2 linked regions of the Danio rerio genome follow. The protein of the gene in region 1 interacts with the protein of each later gene in a biochemical or structural test. Links are inferred from orthologs where the notes say so. Each region holds a gene or a part of one and is shown on either strand. Other genes may lie near its edges. The genes, in order: pax3a and sox10.

The links.
Region 2: the proteins of pax3a (region 1) and sox10 form a complex in vitro, tested with the Homo sapiens proteins (2 studies listed by BioGRID and IntAct). The link is inferred for Danio rerio from reciprocal best matches to the Homo sapiens genes PAX3 and SOX10.

The regions. Positions count from the first base shown.
Region 1 is NC_133177.1:50,677,599-50,681,531, forward strand, and holds the start of pax3a (paired box protein Pax-3a), read right to left. Parts: upstream 3,055-3,933; 5' UTR 2,779-3,054; coding exon 2,694-2,778; intron 1,989-2,693; coding exon 1,753-1,988; intron 1,036-1,752; coding exon 906-1,035; intron 696-905; coding exon 552-695; intron 1-551. UniProt on the Homo sapiens protein: Transcription factor that may regulate cell proliferation, migration and apoptosis. Involved in neural development and myogenesis. Transcriptional activator of MITF, acting synergistically with SOX10.
Region 2 is NC_133178.1:1,253,056-1,256,988, reverse strand, and holds the start of sox10 (transcription factor SOX-10), read right to left. Parts: upstream 2,516-3,933; 5' UTR 2,384-2,515; intron 279-2,383; 5' UTR 37-278; coding exon 1-36. UniProt on the Homo sapiens protein: Transcription factor that plays a central role in developing and mature glia.

The sequences.
Region 1 (3,933 bases):
TGTCCGATTGTGCACCGCAGGAGCGTCTTTTAGTGAACGCTATTCTTGGACAAATGTTTGATTTACTGATTCGGCCAGTTTCACTCCAGGAACGTCTCGTTTTAGGAGGTTAATCTCTGATGCTCCTCAATTCAGTTTCAATGAGTTTAAGAAAAAGGCACAAAAACGCTTAAAATACGGAGAAGACGTGAACCCTATTTTTCCCATCAATCTACTGAGCTTTTGGTGACAAACTTATCACATCCAAAATCGATATTCACTCTCTAAAAAGAAAGCTTAAATGTGCTTGCGACGTTGATGTAAGTTAGTTTTTATAAGTACATTATATTACATAAACATAATATTGTCTATTAATAACAACTATTAGCATATAAATGATATAGAAATAACAACAACAACAAACGCAACAATAATACGCACGTTTGGAAGAAGTGAGATAGGCTATACCTATATGTTTTCTATCCATCAAGAACTCATGTAGATATACCAGTAAAAAAATCAGCTTATTTCAACTTCGCAAACAAAAAAAGTGTAAACTTCTGAAAACTTACATCTGTCCCCAAGAATTCCGTCGATGCTGTGCTTGGCTCTTCTTTCGTTTTCTTCGATCTCTCTTTTCTCCACTTCATCGTCATCCTCATCTTCATCTCCGTTTCCTCCAAATTTACAGCGCAGCATGCGGCTGATGGAACTCACTGCGGAGAGACACGACAGGATTCATCAATTGACAGAATTGCACTTGTGGAATGTTTTAACACCTACAAATATACATGCATTGATACAATGTATATTAAATACTATTGCTCGTGACCTTATATTAGCCACATATACAACAGGTGTGGGTAGTAATATTTATATAAACATAAATCAAACGGCGGCACAGATTGACAGATAAAGTCGAGTACCTGAAGGAACGTTATTCCGATCGCAGATTCCATCTTTCAGAAGTTTATCCCGAATCTCCCAGCTGAACATCCCTGGATTTTCTCTCTTGTATTCTTCGATTTTCTTTTCCACGTCAGGAGTTGTGCTCTGCTTTTATTGCAATGGTAACACAATGGTTTATTTAATTTTGAGATCCTGATCTTTGTAACAACTAGAAAATATCTAACAGCACTATATAAAATGGTCAATTCACTTATGATACAAAGGTTTTTATTAAATAAAAACTGTTGTTTACTATATCAGAATATGATGTTTATTTCTCTGTTTGTTGTCATGAGGTTCAGTAAAATAAAATAAAAAATGTATTGCTCCTAAAATTTTAGCTTCAAAAATGAAAGCCAAGGAGGAACTTTTATTAAAATTCTGTTATTAGGCGTGCTTTAAATAATACAACAATCAAATTAATATTAGAATTTAAATCTAATAAAAGCAATTCACATAATTAATTTACATATACAGTATATCAGTAAAACTATTATTTTTAATGTGTGAACCATTAGATACGTTTATTAAACAATGGGAACAAAATCAAAGACAGCAAAGAAACTTAGCCGTGAACTAAAAACTAAACTCTTCATTTTGTAAAAGGTGTAATAGGGACTAACCAAATTGCATGTTTTTTTTATATATAATTAATAGTACCGAATTTAACCCAATATTTGGGTTACTCCATATTTTACCCAATTTCAGTTAAAACAACACAATGTTTTAAAGTGTACACGAGACTGCCAAAACATTATAATGAAGTCAGTAATAAAAAACAGTACTACCAATACATCAAATGACCTTTAAATTGTGATGTCCTACCTTGGGTTTGCTGCCACCAATAGCCCCGGGCCGAATGGAACCGGTCTCCTGGTACCTGCATAAAATTTTGGACACGCATCCGTGTGAGACTCGCAGCTGCCGGGAGATGACGCACGGTCGTATGCCGTGATGGGCCATCTCTACTATCTTGTGGCGGATGTGATTGGGCAAAGGGCGCCCGTTTATGAAGACTCCGCCGAGCTGGTTCACGCGGCCCTGACCTAAAGGCGTAGAGACTGCAGCAAAAGAGGAAAAGTCAGCGAATGACATTGTATGCAAGCTAAACGTGAAAGCATAATCGTAAAAAAAACTTGACAGCCTTTGACTGACCTGATATAAATATTATACAGTAATAAAGCGACTTCTATTGATATTAACAATTAGTTATGTATTTCAGAAATATTACTTAACCATAATAAAAAGCTGGTCTGCTTGTAAAATGTCAATGGTTAATAATGATAATAGCAATCTAAGTCATTACTTCTTACTACATATTTTAATTTTAAAATATATTTCTTAAGTACGTCAATACTGACAATGTTTTTAAAAATAAGATATTTTATAATAAATGCTTTGTACAAAATGTACGTCTAATATTGACTTCCTAAATCTAAACTAAAACTAGTTCACTTCGACTGCATTATGCAGTTTTCTCTGGATTCAGCTTGATTTTCTTTCAATGTAATAAAAAAAACTAATTCAGTAATTTTGACGCTTCAAAATAATTAGCTAAATGTAGTTTTTCAGTGTTAGCCTACTGACTAAAATATACTTACTAATTATATACAAATGCTAAATAAATTATAAACAATTAAATATTTTATTAATGTCATTTTCAGTAATGTCATTTCAATAAAATATCCATAAGATTAAATAGGTCTTTAAAAAACAACTTTGCGGATGTATCTAGTAGGCTGTGCTATAGCAAGCTAACACCTTACCCTCCAAGGAATAGCCACCTCTCGGGTAGTTTTGGGGTGGCGTGGGGCGCATCATCCTGGAAATGCCCCCCGCTAATGCGGTCATATCTCCTCTGCACGAAAAAAGGATGCACGAAGCACTTGATAGAAAAAGTTATCCAAAGAGAAAGCGCTAGTCGTCAAGTGTCAGTGGACTGCCTAAGTATTGAGGTCTTCAGGCGAAAACAAAAAGTCAACTTCAGAAGTCAAACCGTCGCTTCCAGTCCTCTGAAGTTATTCACGGATATCCAGGTTTTCAATCGTGGTTTATCTCAAAGCGGTTTGGAAGATAACACTCTCAAAGCTTGGTTCCGTTGTTGTTGACACACTTGTTGTTGTGGATTGAAACGGTGATCAGTGGCGAAACATTTTATCAGTTGTTGAGTTGTTGGCTCCTTCTGCCCAGCGAGGACTGTGATTGGTCAAAGAGGGAGGATCCAAAGACCTGGGAAAGCCTGCTGATTGGTCTAAATCCTGAAAGTTTCTTATGTTGTGACCTCGGGAGTTCAAGGGGATGTTTCACTGATAACACTTTCAGACATAAACTGTGATGCCGCAGGGCAAATTGGAAGATGTGTTGAGATAATACAGATGTTTTCTTCAATACCTTCTAAAATATTTATTTTAATAGAACAATGGTAGTTTGGTACAATGGATCTTAATAAAACAATGGATCTTAACGTTGTTCCTGGAAGCCCCTCCAAAAGTTGCAAATGTGGCTGTCTTGCTTATCATATGCACATATTTCAACTCATAAAAAAAGAGACACCATGACCTGAGATAGGAGTGCCATATAACCGAAACATTGAAAAAGTGCTGGACGCAAAGTTTGGAAAGTTCCACCGTTTTGCTTTCTTCTGCCACAACCACGGGCCTATCTATTGCATCGAACATGAATCCCATGCAAACCCCGAATTTCAAGTAAAAACCCAAAAGCTGCACAACACAGAGGTATTTATTGTATGCATGTGGACAGTAGAGTCTCTACAGAATGAAAGGAGCAGCTTGCGGGGGTCTCAGCAGGGTATGACGCCGAGAGTGCCGTAAAAGCTGTCTGTGGAGACCAACACAATTGCGAAGAACGTTATTTATAACGCAGAGACATTCAATATAGTCATCCATCCCACTCATTCGCTTGCATTACTCTACATTTCTCTCTCTCTCTCTCTCTCTCTCTCTCTCTCTCTCTCTCTCTCTCTCTCTCTCTCTCTCACTCTCTCTC
Region 2 (3,933 bases), on another chromosome or scaffold:
TTCCACCTCCGACATGCTGTGCTCCTCCGCCGACATCGGTCCACTAGTTCTGCGGCCACAGGTGACTTCGGTAGGTTTAATTTCCTCACTTAAATTTTATTTTAAATATAAATGTATTAATTTATACTTTACAAATGTTTTTTTCTTGTAAAATAATTGTGCTTTTGTTTATTATTTAAGATCATCCAGTGAAACCTTAACAGTTCTTTTTATATAATTCGAGTTTGTAAGAAGGAATCCTTCCGCCGTCTTCCTCTGGATATAGATCTGATGGAAACCTACAAAAATACACACACAGGTAATTTATTAGTTATAATAATCATTGTTATTATTTTATTAAACAGCTTGCTTCTGCAAAGCATGTCTTCCTAATGTATAAAATAGCATTAATATGTCGTTTTAATGGTTGGCTGTATGACCGCACAACCCCTTTGCTGTTCACCCGAACACCTCATGAACAAGATAAACCTGTTCAGGAAAAACCTACAAACACTGAGGCTTTGACTTTATTTAGAAGTCGCCTTTTTCCAGGGCAGCGCTGCAATCATACGGTGGCGTCAGTGGGCCTCGGTGTGTGTATATGTGTGTGTGTTATTTTAGCTTCACTTCTGCTAACAAGCTACTGTTGAAGGTTTGGCGGTTTGTTCAAGCTCCCGGGAGAGAAAGTGCTGGAATAATACCGGCTTCATTCCGCCTCGCTGCTGGATAAACACGGAGCGGCGCTGCCGTGGGCAGCTGAATTACACAGTGTTTGTTGGTGAAAGCACAAACGACGACTTATAACCAGCAGAAGAAGAAAAAAATCAAGAGAGTCATGGCAGTGTGTTTCTGAAATGTGAAGTAATCGTGAATTAAACGAGTGGATGTGGTTGACTAGGTCCAATTACAGAAAAATCGATCAAATAATTTATATGCGACAGAAGCTGTTGAGATGCGACCTGTCAGCTTGAACTTGAGTTACAGACATCCAATATTAACCCGAATACAAAAACACAGCATCCAACAGCAGTGTTAATTAAGATACAGGTGACTTCACATGAGCAGAACCATGTTTAGTTTATTTGTTTACAGGGTCAATGCACATTAATAAACATTACTGTAAAATGTGCTAGAGTTAGCCAAGAATGGCTACTTGTAGACCCCTTACAAAACACATTAACACATTGATCATTTGTTAATCACATGTATAGCCTACAGAAAGCGTTAATGGTTTGACTTGTCCAATTTATTTGGGACGAAAAAGAAAGCATCGCACAAGACTTGGTTTGTTTTAGTAGCTAACAAATGTATCCGTCAATTTCGGTAATTGCGCTGCTGGGTTTATTTTGTTTTAAGGAAAAGATTTCAGCGGCTGTTTTCTGTCAGGAGGACTTTTATAAACTTTATGCTCATTCATTTTAACTTTGCTCGCAACTCTTGCTTATTTGAGTTTCCTCCGCTGTAAACTTTATTTGTTCAGATTTGATTGGGTTCATCTTTGGCTGCTGTAGGGCGGATCATAACGCCTGGTTTGGCAATAATTTGCCCCTAATTCACTCATGCCAAAACACAAAACTCATAAATGACACAAACTCATTCGAATGAAACCTTTCAAACTAATCTGCGGAGATTATTATTGTATCAAACATTTGATTCAAACTTACACAAATGTGCATTTCAGTTAGTTTTACTTTACTTAAGTTTTCTGATCCTGTTATATTTGTTGTGAAAGGATGTGTAGATAAACAATATTATAAATTGTGTACTTTAAAGTTTGGTCTCTTTGTTAATCTTTGCGTTGGTTACATGAGCAATTTGGCAAGAGACGGCGATATATACAAATAGCCTTACGCAAGTAAAACTTCTCAGAAGATTAAATTTAAAAAAATTATTTCTTATAAAACTATTTAAAAACTGATTCACTTCGAATTAAAGTGTTCAAATGTATAATTTATCGGACTGTAAACATTTACTAAAAGATCTAAAAGTGTATGTACATCCCAAGTGGTCCGTGCACAGATAGATTAAGCCGTTCTTTCCAATTAAGACAGATTAACCCAACACGTCTCTGATTTACACATTCACGCAAATCTCGAAATTTATGCCCCGTGACACCAACTTTAAGTGTTCCTTTCGCCAAAAGATTAGATAAGTTGCACTTTTAAAGACGTCCTTTAATCCATTTCAATTAAAAACCTTCTCCATTACAATTATCCACGACCAAACCCATCAATACATAAACCGAAAAATCCAAAATAAGTAGATGTCGTTTATAAATGCACCGCTTATTATTAGTAGTATTATTACTAATAAGAAATGTAAAAGTTTCTCCGTTAGACAGTGCAATGGCGTATATATTCCCACACAGAGTAAGCGATAGAGAGAAAGCCAGTAATGCACTTACTTTACAGTGCAGCAGGTCGCCCGCCCAGCACGAGAGTCCGTCGGTTCAGCCCCCTCGCTCGCGCTCTGAATGCCTGCTCTGTGTCGCGCGTCGAGGCTTAAAGAGCCCCGTTGTGTGAAGAGCGAGAAAAAAATCAATTCATGGAAAAAAATCTCTTAAAGGAGCAACAGAGCCCTGTCGGGTCCCGCTCTGATTGGCTGCTGAGTTTTGCCCCAGAGGGCGGTGATTTCGGCTGCAAATCAACGACAGTAATATTTGGCCTCTCACAGGGGCATCTTACTTTTAATTCAGATCTTAAACTTTTTTAAATATACATTTGTGTCTTCAACTTTATTATTTTTTTATTATTCAGTTTGAATTTGCTTTTACGCTTGTTATTTATGTTTCTTTTATTGTTGTTTATGTAAAACACTTTGATTTTCCATTGTGTATGACATTCTATTTAAATAATCCTCCTTTGCCTTACATTTATATATATATATATATATATATATATATATATATATATATATATATATATATATATATATATATATATACACACACACACACACATATATATATATATGTAACTTCATTTAGGTTTTTGTTGATCTGAATTTTAGTTTTAGGTAAAGTTGTTTTATCATAAACATGCCGATTTGATAATTTCAACATATGTTAAAATCTAATCTTAAGTTTTCTAATAATTTTTCTTTATTTTTCAAACTTAAAAGCAGTGCATTAACAGCTTTAAGTTAAGTTTTGACAGGCTAATTGTGCAATTAAAACTATCCATTTGATTTGTGATTCGTTAATAAGAGTTGGGAGTGGATCAGAATTAAGCTAATTAATAAAAATGTTAAATAAAAATAACCGAATAATTCGGAACACACTAATTAAAACACATAAGTTAAATATTAAATGTGTTTACCTGAAGGCCACGTGGCCATTAATCGACATCAGAGAACCGCAAAAAAAAAATGTAAATCTCGGGGGGTGAATATTATTGCGCAAACCTTTTCGGCTCACAACCATGGCTGCAGTGCAAATGTAGAACACTTATTAAGTTACCCATAGCTAGCTAATGTTTTTCTTTGTGATGTAATGCGGTTATGCACGCAATATTTGATCAGCTTAATATGCTTTTGTCTGACATGTGATGTATTTCACAGGTGGTCTTTGGCTCCTCATTGGTGTCACGGAGATTCTTTCAACTCTTTTCCGATCACACTGGCCCGTTGTTGGCCTGGCTGTGCCTCAGGGTGAATCAGGGGTTGTGCGGGGTTTCGAGCGCTTCCACCCCGCAGAGCGCCAGCGGACCTGTCAGCAGCTCCAGCGCCATTAGCGGACGCGACTCTGCGCACCTGCTGTGCGCAATAACCTCTCCATTCTCTGTTTAACGCGTGGCGATGTCAAAGGGTGCCCAGAATAGCCTACGATTTTATGCTACTTATGGAGGGTCACCTATTGCCCTAAAGCTGGCCACTTAAGGGGGACACTGAATTTTCATTTTCCCCAAAATGGTGAAAGTGAACATTTAGCCTTAGTTTTAATGTATTAAATAGATG